Anolis sagrei: one gene and its partner. The protein of the gene in region 2 interacts with the protein of the main gene of each other region in a pairwise test. Links are inferred from orthologs where the notes say so. Each region holds a gene or a part of one and is shown on either strand. Other genes may lie near its edges.

Region 1 (7,201 bases), on a different chromosome or scaffold from region 2:
CATCCACAGATCTCTTCAACTCCAAACATCTACAACAAAATCAAAGGTTACAAAATCAAAGGGGTACTTTGAATACAATTTTCCTGCTTCTTGGCAGGGGGTTGGACTGGATGGCTCATGAGGTCTCTTCCAACTCATGGATTCTATGATTCTATATTTTATATAAGCAGACACAAAGACAGTTCTCATAGCCAAAATGTTGCTTTGTCCTTAACTTTTACTAGACCAGCCGTACAATTTGCTACTTTGCAGAAATGCCACTACAGCTCTCTTGGCTAGGGGATAGCAGTGGAGCATTCTGACTGTTGGTTTATATGTGCACACATCAGTCCTTCCGGTTTATCATGTCTTTCTGCACATATGTTGTGACTGAGGCCCCTTCCACACAGCTGAAGAAAATCCCACATTTTCTGCTTTGAACTGGAATATACTGCAGTGTGGACTCAGACAACCCAGTTCAAAGCAGGTATTGTTGGATTTTCTGCCTTGATATTCTAAGTTATATGGCTGTGTGGAACAGCTCTGAGAAACCCCATAGCACTGTACTATGTTCCCTGACTGAGAAAACACAGTCAAACGTCCCAACTGCTCCCTCTTCTGGATAATCATAACACAGTTCTAGATTGCAGTTGGCCCACTTGGGAATTACCCATAATCTTTGTTGCCCAGGCCCTATCTACACTGCCACGTAAAATCCAGATTATCTGCTTTGAATTCAATGCCATACAAAAGAAAAATACATAAATAACCATCCCACCCAAAGGCCTCACAGATTCACATTTAAACCAAAAAAAAAAAAAAAACCTCAATAATAACACACAACATTTACAATTCCGTAATAATCCATCAATAAAATGGAAGAGTCATGAAATTAACTACTGCCAGCAACCAGAGTGAGTAATCCATATAAGATACCAAGCCTTCTCGGTTTTATATGCCTGAGCACATAAGGAAGTTTTAAGTTGTTTTTTAAAGGAAGTTAAAGAGGGAGCTGTTTCAACCTTTTTAGGAAGAGAGTTCCAAAGGCGGGAGTGATCACAGAGACGGTCCCCTCTCTTGTTCTCACCAGCTGTGCTTGAGATGGGGTGGGACTAAGAGCAGGGCCTCCTCCACTGATCAAAGAGCCTGGGCAGGCTTGTACAAGGAGATGTGATTTGTTAGATAGTCTGGGTCCGAACTGTTTAGGGCTTTAAGGTAATAACCAGCAGTTTGAATTTAGCCCAGAAGTAATCTGGCAACAAGTGTAGCGGCTGCAACATGGAAGTGGTTATTTCCCTGTTCGGAGCCCCAGTTAGTAATATGGCCTCAGATCTCTAAACCAGTTGCAGCTTCCGGTTTGTAATTTTTTAAATCTTAGTACACACTTTAACTGTTATATACTTGCCTATTATAGTATGTAACATGATTTTTGGCTCCAGGGTTATAAATGTCATTTCTCAATTGGTTGCATCACACAGACATGGGAAAGCTCTATTAAACTTGTATGGAAGATGTCCATGCTAATTTCCACAATTCTGTTTTCAAATGTTGGAATACTATGAAAGTACCAAGCACTCTTTGCTTTACAAATTTCAGACTTTGAAAGATAAAAGAACAGGTGTTTTTCCTCTTTACACCACATATAAAGTGACTTAACTCCCTAGAACAAACATTTAGGAATCCCTCTCTATACACACAGCCTTGGAGAATATCAAGACACATACAGCTTTGGAGAATATCAAGATTGGCATCCTCCCTCCTGGTTTTAAGAAATAAAGTAAAAACTTGGCCGTGGAACCAGGCATTTGGGGAATAGCACAACCACAGTGCAACATACATCCATGGAGTAAAAATAAATGAAGCAGCTTGGACTATGATTATGGGATTAGGTGCAATGTTTTAACAGTTTTTTAATCGTATTTATATACTTTACTTTGATTTTATAGTTCAATGTGTTGTGTATTTGAATGCTTTTATGTTTCAATGTGGCATTGAATAATTGCCAAAATAGGAAGCCGCTCTGAGTTCCCTCTGAGGTGAGAAAGAGTGGGGCAGAAATCTATATAAATAAAAATGTAATGTTCGTTTGTGGTATTAGCATAACTCAAAAACCACTGGATGAATTGACACCAAATTTGGACACAAGACACCTAGCAGGCCAAGTGACCATCACTCATAAAACATTGGAAAACACAGCAGAAGAGACTTAAAAAGCCAAAAAACAAAAAATAAATGACAATGTATGCGCAAATCCACATGCAAACACACATAAATACAAATATACAAATATACACACATATATACACACACAAAACAAATATACATAGACTGGGCTACAGCAACACGTAGAAAGGAATGGCTAGTACAGTAAATAAATTAATAAATACTGTTTATCAAAGGGTAGGATCACATTTTCGGCAAAACATATCAAACTTGAGAATTCAAAATACATGTCACCATTATCCCCAAAATATTTAGACCTATATTAAAGACAGCTTATGACAATAAACGTCGCTGTGAATAAATAAATACCTCTGGTACAGGCTTCTCCTTTTCTCTGAGTCTTGGGCTCCGGCTTCCTTGCTTTCTTGAAGCAAAGCATTGACCTAAAATATATAGTAAAATAGAGATGCATTCAGTCATGCAAAAATAGTTATGTGTATGTAAAACTTAACAAGAAAGAACTCCCAAAAGCATTGGGAGCTTGTTTAGAGCCATTACAGATTACTCAACTGAAGGTGTAGCATTTAGTACAGGCCTGGGCCAACTTGGGCCCTCCAGGTGTTTTGGACTTCAACTCCCACAATTCCTAACAGCCTACCGGCTGTTAGGAATTGTGGGAGTTGAAGTCCAAAACACCTGGAGGGCCCAAGTTGGCCCAGGCCTGTCTGTCTCTTGTGCTGTGAGAAGAGCCGCCATTGCACCCTTCCTCTTTCTCCTCTCCCATCCCGCGGGAAGTAACCCAGGTCCAAACCTGCTCCCGGAGCTCTCTGCCCCGGCACAGGGCGCTCTGCAGCGGGCCCGTCCGGCTCCGGCGACTGGCCATTCCGAGGAAGGCCTCCCTCTGCGAACTCCAGGGAGGAACTAGGCCGCCGCTGGTCGCCAAGGCAACGCATGCTGCGGCGCCCGCTGATGGCGTCATCCGTGCGCGCCACCACAAGGAAAAGGAAGAAGAGCAGCTGAATGATAAAACAGGGTGAATCCCAAGTCCCAGCCCAGAAAGGATGTTGCCTCCATAGGGAGGAAAAATGAACTCCTGACCTTTTCAAGGAGGAAAGGAAATAAAAGATAACCAAAGACTTGTTGTGTTCTGTTGGTGGCTCTTTCATTCATTCCTCCCTTTCCTTCATACTCCATGGACCTTTCCACACACAGCCATATAACCCAGAATGTCAAGGCAGAAAATCCCACAATATCTGCTTTGAACTGGAATATCTGAGGGCCCTTCCACAGAGCCCTATATCCCAGAATATCAAGGCAGAAAATCCTACATTATTTATTTTATTTATTTATTTCGTGTACTTCTACCCCGCCCTTCTCAACCTCCTACGGGGGACTCAGGGCAGCTTGCAAAAAGGCACAATTCGATGCCTACACAATAATACAAATAAATGTGTAAAACAGCAATTAAAACAATTAAGACTGTTAAAACAATCAATATATATCACAGTCAATAAACCAATCTCAAGCTCAGCGTTCGCCAACTCAGTCTATATTTCGTTCTACATTATCTATTCTTATCGGTCGTCGTAGTCCTTTATTCATCTGCTTGGTCCCAAATCCATGTTTTTAATTTCCTTCTAAAGGAAAGGAGGGATGTCGCTGATCTAATTTCCCCAGGGAGAGAATTCCACAGGTGAGGGGCCACCACCGAGAAGGCCTGCTCCTCATCCCCGCCAATCTTGCTTGTGATGGAGGCGGGGCCGAGAGCAGGGCCTCCCCAGAAGATCTTAAACTCCGAGGCGGGACGTAGAGGGAGATCCGTTCGGACAGATACGCTGGGCCGGAACCATATAGGGTTTTGTAGGACAAAACCAGCACTTTGAATTGTGCTCGGAATTGGATCGGCAGCCAGTGGAGCTGACATAGCAGAGGGGTGGTATGCTCCCTGTATGACGCTCTGCTTTGAACTGGAATTTATTTATTTATGACATGTATATGCCGCCCTTCTCATCCCGAAGGGGACTCAGAGCAGCTAATGTATATATACATTGTTGTTGTTCATTTGTTCAGTCGCTTCCAACTCTGTGACCTCATATATTAAATTATTAGCATAGTACAATATGGGTATTATATATTACTATATTGTACTACGCCATTATATTATAACATTATTAGTAATATTACGTGTAATATAAAGTGAGGCTCCTCGGGTGGCATAGTTTACCAAGATCACCATGGCCCCTGACAGATGGCTGGATGGCCATCTGTCAGGGGTGATTTGAATGCAATAGTCCTTCTTGGCAGGAGGTTGGACTGGATGGCCCATGAGGTCTCTTCCAACTCTTTGATTCTATGATTCTCAATCTGTTGCAGCCTTCTTCCGCCTTCACAGCCGTTGTAACATGTACCATGTTATCCTCCGTCTGCTCCGCTGTTGAAGTCTTTGGAATTATTTAGAAAATGTGTTAAGATGTGGAGTAGAAAAATTAAGACTGAGACTGATATTTCAAATGTAACTTCTGTAGTTTGATGTATAAATTGTATATACAAGGAGGGAAGGGTGGGAGTGGGAAAAAAACCCAATAAAAGAAAAAAAGTCTTTGGGTCTTCGGACTGTGCTTGGTCTGGAACCTCCCCCACGGCCACTCCTGGGAGTGCATGACTCCAGTCATTGTGCTCGCAGGTTCATTGGAACACGCAAGCCCCCTCACCACGACAAGGTGACGGTCCATCGAGGGGGTAATTTTATATTAGTAGTAGTATATTGTATTACATTATAATATTATAAATATTATATGAATGTACAATATATTATATTATTAGTAAAGCACAGAAGACAAGATGGAACTGTCTTCAACTGTAGCCCCCTCTCTATTCACTCTAGCCAGAAAAGCAGTTGGTGCCGGGGGCTCCCAACTGATGATATATGCAGGAGACAAGATGGAACGGTCTTCTGCCCCCCACTCTCTTCACTCTGGCCCAGAGCAGCAGTTGGTGCCGGGGGGGGGGGGGGGAGGCCTCGAAACTGATGATATAGGCAGGAGACAAGATGGAACTGTCTTCTGCCCCATTCTCTCTGAGATATATGGCAGTGTGGACTCAGGTAACCCAGTTCAAAGCAGATATTTTGGGATTTTCTGCCATGATATTCTGGGTTATAGGGCTGTGTGGAAGGGCTGAGTCCACACTGCCATATATCTCAGTTCAAAGCATATGATGTATGATTTTATTCAGCTAGGTGGCAGAGGCCCCAGTCCTTCACTCTTCTTTCCTTGTTTTTCCTACATACACCTTCCCCCTTCTACTTTCATCTTCCCTTGTTTTTCTTTCTTCCCTCCCTTTTTGTACCCTTCTCCCCTCTCTTTCTCTTCCTTCTGTTCTTTTTCTGTCTTCCCCTTCCATCTCTCCTTCTCCCTTTCTTTTCCTCCCTCAATGCCTTTATACACAGGTCACCTAGTAGCAGTGAATCTGCTTTGCTCCCTTTTCCATTACTTGTCACAGGACATTTCACCTAGCACCAGCCAATCTGTTTTGTTCCTTTTATTTCCCTCAATTCTGGGCTCAAAAGGTATGGGTTTTTAATGTTCTAATCAAAGCATGGACAAACTTGGGCCCTCCAGGTGTTTTGGACTTCAGTTCCCACAATTCTTAACAGCCTTATTTTATCTTAAGTTGGATAATGAAGGGTATGTGTTCCTAATATAGTCCAGATCCACCAAACATGTAGGAGCCTTCATAGTATCAACATACACAAGATACTTTGGTTTTTACATATATATGATTGTGTGTGTGTGTATTTAAATCACTATCCATTTTTCTTAGGCAGGCATTCTCAGCGATGGTTTTGTGAACTCCATCTGAAAGATAGCCTACAGCCCTTGGTATTCACTGGTGGCTTCCTATTCAAGTATTAACCAAAGCAAACCCAAGGCTTAGGTCCCTTCCACACAGGTGTATAAAATCCACATAGAAATGGATTATCTGGCAGAGTGGACTCAGATAATCCAGTTCAAAGCAGATATTGTGATGATATGCCTTGATATTCTGATTTATATGGCTGTGTGGAAGGACCCCCAGCCCCTTCTAGGGCCCTTCCACACAGCCATATAACTCAGAATATCAAGGTAGATAATCTACAATATTTTGTTTATTTATTTAAATCCCACTTTATCTCTCCATATGGAGACTCAAAGCGGTTCACAATAAAAAAAAATTACAACTACAAATATACCATAATAAAACAGTATATTATATATTATTAGTAATTAATATATAAATATTAATAATTAATATTAATATATTAATATCATTATATTACAATATTATATTGTATTATTATTGTATTACATTATATTCAATATCTGCTTTGAACTTAGTTATCTGAGTCCACACTGCCAGATAATTCAGTTCAATGTGGATTTTATACAGCTGTGTGGAAGGGACCCTACACTGCCATATAAAATCCAGATTATCTGCTTTGAACTGGATTATATGGTACTGTAAACTCATAAAATCCAGTTCAAAGCAGATAATGTGGGTTACCTACTTTGATAATCTAGATTATATGGCAGTGTAGAAGGGCCCCCACTCACCTTCTGAAATAAATGCTGCTCCTGTCCTGAATTGATTCTTCAGATTCCAGTAATTACAACAATCAGGCCTCACCTAGAACACTGCCTCTTTAACTATGGATACCAAACACAAATGGAGTCCCCTAAAACTGGCAACAGTAAAGGTTTTCTGGCCATCACATAATGGCTGTTTTAGTCATTTACATGTTGTGTTTCATCTGTGCTTCGTAAAAAGGAAATCAGCCTCTTTAGCAATATTTGCAAATACTGATTTTATCCGTAGATGTTAGATTAATGCATATTTTAAATGCCTACATACCCGGTGTCACATAAAAATGTATTGGCCAAAAGGGGTTATGAGTGGAAAAACTTAAGAAGTCTTTCTATAGAGTATTGTGTTCCATTCTAAGCACCATATTTTAAGGATATGGGCATGTTGAAGCAGGTTGAAAAAGGCAACAAGGATGATAAGAAGTATGAAGAATAAC
Region 2 (8,074 bases):
GTGGAACACATCTCACCACGCTAAAGCAGTGGATGTGGCTCTTAATGAGACATGCCGCATTATCACAGGGTGTCTGCGCCCTACACCACTGGAGAAATTACACTGCTTAGCCGGTATTGCACCACCTGACATCCGCCGGGAAGTGGCAGCCAATAGTGAAAGGACCAAGGCAGAGACATCTCCAGCTCATCCCCTGTTTGGGTATCAGCCAGCACGTCAACGACTTAAATCTATATACATAACAATATAATGTTCGTTTGTAGTATTAACAGAACTCAAAAACCACAGGACGAACTGACACCAAATTTGGACACAAGACACCTAACAACTCAATGTATGTCCTTCACTCAAAAAAATTGATTTTGTCATTTGGGAGTTGTAGTTGCTGGGATTTATAGTTCACCTACAATCAAAGAGCATTCTGAACTCCACCAACGATGGAATTGAACCAAACTTGGCACACAGAACTCCCATGAACAACAGAAAATACTGGAAGGGTTTGGTGGGCACTGTCCTTTGGTTTTGGAGTTGTAGTTCACCTACATCCAGAGAGGATTTCCTCCTTTCCAGGGTCACCGGGGTGGCTTCTTATATTTTTATACATTTTTTCAGTAAAGGGGAATTGGGCAAAAGGGTCAGGAAAAGGTCAGGCACACAGGGAGAAATATAGAAATATAGAAATCATGATATAGAAAACATACCCACTTATCCCTCCCACCAGAGTCCCATAGTCCCCTGGAAGTTGTAGTTTGGAGAAGCACCAGCCCTCTTTGGCACAGAAGGTGAAAAGCCATGTGAAACAACAACTTCCAAAATTCCAAAGCATGGAGCCAGGGCACTCAACGTGGTATCAACTTGCATTCATTCTGCAGTGTGGATACATGCATGCATTGCTTGCTACTGGTTCTTGCATAACTGGGAAGGAGAATCTTGCCTACTGAAATGACTTGTCACAGCAGTGATCAACCATCACCAGACCTGGTTTAAGCTGCATGGGAACAGAGCCCTAAGGCTATTTAAAGCTTTCCATGTGGGAAACACCCAGAGGTGTTCAACTGTGCTGACTATAAAACAGAATACAATCAAAGCAACAGTTAAATAAACAATTACTTTTGTTTATTTATTGAACCATTGGTAAATAAACATTTAAAGAAACAATCGCATCAAAAACATTTATCTGAAATGGTTTTAAAGTGCTTTAGAGATAGTGGGTTAGACTAGGTGACCTTTGGGTGTTCCTAGTACCAACAACAAGAGCAGCAGCACTCTGTGTATTCTCAGGAGTACAACAGCAACAATAGCAATGATATAATGCATGCTCAGGACTACAACACATAGCACCCAACTCTCTTCCTTGCACTGCTCCTGGATTAGACTGGATAGCCATTGGAGAACACTGTTAACAAACAACAACAACAATTGCAATGATATAATGCCTGCTCAGGACTACAACACACAGTATCCAACTCTCTTCCTTGCACTGCTCCTGGATTAGTTGGATACCCCTTGGAGATTCCTGTGAATGATAATAACAAACATACTTTGTGCATGCTTAGGAGTGATTCTCTCTTGCTTGCCCTAAGGGTCAGACTAGGCGACCTTTGGGGATCCCTGCCCATTCCCCCTTACTGGAGAGGCAGGCAGAGGGGAGTTGGAGGGGGAGGCAACGTAGAGGCGTCCTTGCACTGCTCCTGGACTAGACTAGATGACCCTTGGAGATCCCTGTGAACAACAACAACAGCAATGATACACTGTGCACCTTCAAGACTGCAACACATAGCACCCAACCCTTTTCCTTGCACTGCTCCTAGATTAGACAGGATAGCTCTTGGAGATCTCTGTGAACAATAACAACAATAGCAATGATACCCTGTGCATTTTCAGGACTAGAATACACAGTACCCAACTCTCTGCCTTGCACTGGTCCTGGATTAGACTACATGTCAGGTTTTACAATGTATTGTAATGTATTATAGCTGAGTCATGCACTGCTAATGGGCTTCTATTGGAAATGCTGAGTCATGCATTAACTGTATAAAGGGAACTTCATTTGGGGAATGTGTTCTGGCCTAGTCCAGGTGATTGTGAATGATGTAATCCTGGGTCTGAGTTAAGTTAATGAGTTGGGAACCAATCAGAGATTGCTATGTGTAATTGTATAGAATTGTATATAAGGAAGTCATGTACAGTGTATATCTCTCCTTGTGCTGTGATGTTGTTCGTCAAAGGCTCTATGTAATTGATTAAAAGAACCTGTCTGCTAAGACAAGATATAACTGTGTGCTGTGGTAAGTTTGTAATGTCATCTAGACTGGGGGAAAGACAATAGTAAAACTGACAATGGCCAGGCATGTGCTCAAGTGTCTGTAAAAGGTTCCAGAGTGACTGCAGGTTGTGGGAGCAGTTGACTGAAAATACTGTGCAGGAAGAAGCTACTGGAAAGCGCTGAAGTTGTGCAACTGATCTGCTGCTGAATTGTGAAGTTAATCTCAACACTACATAAACCTCTGGGATATCCTGTTAACAACAACAATGATATAATGCATGCTCAGGACTACAACACATAGTACCAAACTCTCTTCCTTGCACTGCTCCTGGATTAGACTGGATAGCCCTTGGAGATCCCTATTAACATCAACAACATCAACAATGATATAATGCATGCTCAGGACTACAACACACAGTACTCAACTCTCTTCCTTGCACTGCTCCTGGATTAGACAGGATACCCCTTGGAGATCCCTGTGAATGATAATGACAATCATACTCTGTGCATGCTTAGGAGGGATACTCTCTTGCTTGCCCTGGGGATAGACTAGGCGACCTTTGGGGATCCCTGCCCATTCTCCCTTACTGGGAAGGCAACGTAGAGGCGTCCTTGCACTGCTCCTGGACTAGACTAGATGACACTTGGAGATCCCGGTGAACAACAACAACAATAGCAATGATACACTGTGCATCTTCAGGACTACAACACACAGTACCTAACTCTCTGCCTTGCACTGCTCCTGGATTAGACTACATAACCCTCTGGGATATCCTGTTAAAAATGACGACAACAATAGCAATGATATAATGCATGCTCAGGCCTACAACACAAAGTACCCAACACTCTGGGTTGTTGTAGGTTTTTTTCGGGCAATATGGCCATGGTCTAGAGGCATTCTCTCCTGACGTTTCGCAAGCATCCTCAGAGGTAGTGAGGTCTGTTGGAACTAGGAAAATGGGTTTATATATCTGTGGAATGACCAGGGTGGGACAAAGGACTCTTGTGTGCTGGAGCTAGGTGTGAATGTTTCAACTGATCACCTTCATTAGTATTTAATGGCTTGGAAGTTCCTGGGGGAATCTTTTGTTGAGAGGTGATTTGATGTGCCTGATTGTTTACTCTCTGCTGTTTTGCTGTTGTAATTTTAGAGTTTTTTTAATACTGGTAGCCAGATTTTATTCATTTTCATGGTTTCCTCCTTTCTGTTGAAATTGTCCACATGCTTGTGGATTTCAATGGCTTCTCTGTGTAGTCCGACATGGTGGTTGTGAGAGTGGTCCAGCATTTCTGTGTTCTCAAATAATCTGCTGTGTCCAGGCTGGTTCACCAGGTGCTCTGCTATGGCTGACTTCTCTGGTTGAAGTAGTCTGCAGTGCCTTTCATGTTCCTTGATGCGTGTTTGGGCAATGCTGCGTTTGGTGGTCCCTATGTAGACGTGTCCACAGCTGCATGGTATACGGTAGACTCCTGCAGAAGTGAGAGGATCCCTCTTGTCCTTTGCTGAACATAGCATTGGTTGGATTTTCTTGGTGGGTTTGTAGATAGTTTGTATGTTGTGTTTCCTCATCAGCTTCCCTCTGCGATCAGTGGTTCCCTTGATGTCTGGCAGGAACACTTTTCCTCTGGGTGGATCTTCATCTTGACTCTTGTGGCTTCTTCTCGGTTGTCTTGCAGCTCTTCCGATGTCTGAGGTGGAGTTTCCATTGGCCTGGAGAGCCCAGTTGAGGTTCAGTTCATCTTGGAGGAGGTGGGCTTCGCAGATCCTTTTTGCACGGTCTGCCAAGGCTTTAATGGTGCTTCTTTTTTGACTTGGGTGATGGTTGGAGTTTTTATGTAGATATCTATCTGTGTGTGTGGGTTTTCTGTAGACGGTGTGACCCAATTGTTGATCTGGTTTGCGGATGACGAGGACATCTAGAAAAGGCAGTCTTCCTTCATTTTCTTTTTCCATAGTGAACTGGATGTTAGGGTGGATGCTGTTAAGATGGTCCAGGAACCTGTTGAGTTCTTCTTCTCCATGGCTCCAAATGGTGAAGGTGCCATCCACATATCTGAACCATATGTTTGGGTGGATGCTGTTAATATGGTCCAGGAACCTGTTGAGTTCTTCTTCTCCATGGCTCCAAATGGTGAAGGTGTCATCCAGATATCTGAACCATATGTTTGGGTGGATGCTGTTCAGATGGTCCAGGAACCTGTTGAGTTCTTCTTCTCCATGGCTCCAAATGGTGAAGGTGTCATCCAGATATCTGAACCATATGTTTGGGTGGATGCTGTTCAGATGGTCCAGGAACCTGTTGAGTTCTTCTTCTCTGTGGCTCCAAATGGTGAAGGTGTCATCCACATCTCTGAACCATATCGTGGGCTTTTTGGTTGCTGTTTCCAGGGCTTGTTCTTCAAAGTGTTCCATGTAGAAATTAGCTATGACCGGGCTGAGAGGGCTCCCCAGAGCTACTCCATCTTTCTGTTCATAGAACTCATTGTCCCACTGAAAGTAGCTGGTGGTGAGGCAATGGTGAAACAGAGCCGTGATGTCTTCTGGGAACCTCTGGTTCCCTGTGAATGATAATGACAATCATACTCTGTGCATACTTAGCAGGGATATTCTCTTGCTTGCTCTGGGGGTCAGACTAGGCGACCTTTGCGGATCCCTGCCCGTTGTCCCTTGCTGGAGAGGCAGGCAGAGAGGAGTTGGAGGCGGGGGCAACGTAGAGGCGCCCTCCCCTTGGCCCTCCTCCTTCCCTCCCTCCTCTTCCTCCTTGGCCCGCCATCCCTGCCGGGTGCCAGGCGGAGGCAGCCTCTCCCCGCCGTCCCATCGCTGCCTCCCGGCGCCGCCTCCTTTTCTCCCGAGCAGCCAATGGAAGAGGCGTCCTAGCCAGCAACTCTCCTGCTTTCTCTGCTCTCTTTTTCCCCTCCTTTGGCTTACATCACTCGCCGGGCTTAGGCGTCGGAGAAGGAGGAGAGGAGGAGGAAGAGAACCGAGCCTGGGACGATGCGTTAAGGGCGCACGGTCACTGCGGCCGCCCCTCCGTTGCGCGCGGCCTGGCCGGGAAGATGAACTACCTGGTGAGGAAAGGGCGACGTGGGGGGAAAGAGGGGGCTCTTAGCTATCCATCGGTGGGTCATTTGTGGGGCTGGGTCGCCGGGCTGGCGAGGGAGAGCCTTCCCTTTTGGGTCCCCCCAGGACCTCTCCAAATGGAGGCCAGGGCGCACGGAATGCGCTTTGGGTAGGCAAGGAGGAAGGCTCTGCTTTCCAAGGAAGGAAAGGGTTTGGCCCCTTAGTCCTTCTCTTGGGGGGGGGGGGGGGCTTCAATCTCTTCTCTAGCCAACGTTTTAGGCTTCAATCTCTTCTCTACCCCCCCCCTCCCTAGTGTTGGCCCCATCTTTGAGAGAAAGGAAAGACAGATCCAAATTGGAAAGGTTTGACTTTGTCCTCAATGCAGTTTGTGACACTACTGTTAACTGCCACAGCTCAATGGTGAAGAGAATCCAGGGAGGTATAGTTTGGGAAGGTCTGGAGCCTTCTCTGTTGGAGTCTTGCCAAACTACAACTCCCAAGATTCCTTAGCATGGTTAAACTGATACTAAACTGCATTTATTCCCCAATGTAGATGCCTTGGAGAAAAAAGAGAAAGCCAAGGCTCTGGGCACTTCGACCTTGGAAGATGGGACTGTGTGTGTGTATTCTCTGTGTGTGTTTTTTGTGCATTTGTGTGCTTTCGGGATTTTGCGTCCTTCCTCAAGCCAAGGTCGGACTTCTTTGGCCCGGGATGGAAACCGGCGCCCATTTTTATGTATTTCCTTAGTGTGTCTGTTGGATTTATATCCGGCCTTTCTCCCAGAATGAGGTTCTGTTTCCCTTCATTCTTTTAACCAACCTTAATCCCTTCCTAATATATACATATTATTCTGAATTTTCAAAAAACACAGATGGGAAGCAAAGAGGGATAGAACAGCGGGTTGCTGTGAGTTCTCTGGGCTGTATGGTCATGTTCCAGAAGCATTCTCTCCTGACGTTTTGCCTGCATCTATCGTTGTGAAGTCTGTTGGAAACTAGGAAAATGGGGTTTATATACCTGTGGAATGATGTCCAAGGTGGGGGAAAGAACTCTTGTCTGTTTGAGGTAGGTTTTTTTTCCGTGTCAGGAGCGATTTGAGAAACTGCAAGTTGCTTCTGGTGTGAGAGAATTGGCCGTCTGCAAGGACATTGCCCAGGGGGCGTCCAGATGATTTGATGTTTTTATCATCCTTGTGGGAGGCTTCTCTCATGTCCCCGTATGAAGAGCTGGAGCTGGTAGAGGGAGCTCATCCGCCTCTCCCCGGATTTGAACCTGCGACCTGTCAGTCTTCAGTCCTGCCGGCACAGGGGTTTAACCCACTGCGCCACTGGGGGCTCAAATGGTTCAATTGGCTGTCTTGATTGGCATTTAATGGCCTAGCGGTTTCAAGGTTTGGCTTCTTACCGCTTTGGGGGATCCTTTGTTGGGAGGTGATTAGCTGGCCCTGATTGTTTCTTGTCCAGAATTCCCCTGTTTTTGAGGCCAACAATAACATTCAGAACCCAAAATCACTGGGTTGTTGTGAGTTTTCCGAACTGTATGGCCATGTTCCAGAAGCATTCTCTCCTGATGTTTGGCTTCGAACCGCTTTGGGGAATCCTTTGTTGGGAGGTGATTAGCTGGCCCTGATGGTTTCTTGTCTGGTATTCCCTTGTTTTTGAGTGCTAATCAAGGAGGCCAACAACAACATTCACAACCCAAAATCACTGGGTTGTTGTGTGTTTTCCGGGCTGTCTGGCCATTTTCCAGAAGCATTCTCTCCTGACGTTTCGCCTGCATATCTCGTAGGTTGTGAGTTTTTTTGGAATAATGTCCAAGGTGTGAGAAAGAACTCTTGTCTCTTTGAGGTAGCTGCGAATGTTTCCATTGGCCACCTTGATTGGCATTCAATGGCCTAGCAGTTTCAAGATTTGGCTTCTTACCACTTTGGGGAATCCTTTGTTGGGAGGTGATTAGCTGGCCCTGATGGTTTCTTGTCTGGAATTCCCCTGTTTTTTGAGTGTTGTTCTAGTGCCAACAACAACATTCACAACCCAAAATCACTGGTTGTTGTGTGTTTTCTGGGCTGTCTAGCCATGTTCCAGAAGCATTCTCTCCTGACGTTTCGCCTGCATCTCTCTCCTGACGTTTCGGCAGGCATCCTCGGAGGTTGTGAGGTTTTTTGGAATAATGTCCAAGGTGGGAGAAAGAACTCTTGTCTGTTTGAGGTAGTTGCGAATGTTTCCATTGGCCACTTTGATTGGCATTCAATGGCCTAGCAGTTTCAAGGTTTGGCTTCTTACCGCTTTGGGGAATCCTTTGTTGGGAGGTGATTTGCTGGCCCTGATTGTTTCTTGTCTGGAATTCCCCTGTTTTTGAGTGTTGTTCTAGTGCCAACAACATTCACAACCCAAAATCACTGGGTTGTTGTGTGTTTTCCGGGCTGTCTAGCCATGTTCCAGAAGCATTCTCTCCTGATGTTTCGCCTGCATATCTCAGAGGTTGTGAGTTTTTTTGGAATAATGTCCAAGGTGGGAGAAAGAACTCTTGTCTGTTTGAGGTAGATGCGAATGTTTCAATTGGCCACCTTGATTGGCATTCAATGGCCTAGCAGTTTCAAGGTTTGGCTTCTTACCGCTTTGGGGAATCCTTTGTTGGAAGGTGATTAGCTGGCCCTGATGGTTTCTTGTCTGGATTTCCCCTGTTTTTGAGTGTTGTTCTAGTGCCAGCAACAACATTCACAACCCCAAATCACTGGTTGTTGTGT

Evidence for each region.
Region 1: the proteins of BCAR1 (region 2) and NPHP1 interact in a two-hybrid assay, tested with the Homo sapiens proteins (2 studies listed by BioGRID). The link is inferred for Anolis sagrei from reciprocal best matches to the Homo sapiens genes BCAR1 and NPHP1.

Annotation. Positions count from the first base shown.
Region 1 is NC_090021.1:23,492,065-23,499,265, forward strand, and holds the start of NPHP1 (nephrocystin-1), read right to left. Parts: upstream 3,108-7,201; 5' UTR 3,026-3,107; coding exon 2,954-3,025; intron 2,586-2,953; coding exon 2,512-2,585; intron 30-2,511; coding exon 1-29. UniProt on the Homo sapiens protein: Together with BCAR1 it may play a role in the control of epithelial cell polarity. Involved in the organization of apical junctions in kidney cells together with NPHP4 and RPGRIP1L/NPHP8. Does not seem to be strictly required for ciliogenesis.
Region 2 is NC_090028.1:4,790,778-4,798,851, reverse strand, and holds the start of BCAR1 (breast cancer anti-estrogen resistance protein 1), read left to right. Parts: upstream 1-5,026; 5' UTR 5,027-5,323; coding exon 5,324-5,335; intron 5,336-8,074. UniProt on the Homo sapiens protein: Docking protein which plays a central coordinating role for tyrosine kinase-based signaling related to cell adhesion. Implicated in induction of cell migration and cell branching. Involved in the BCAR3-mediated inhibition of TGFB signaling.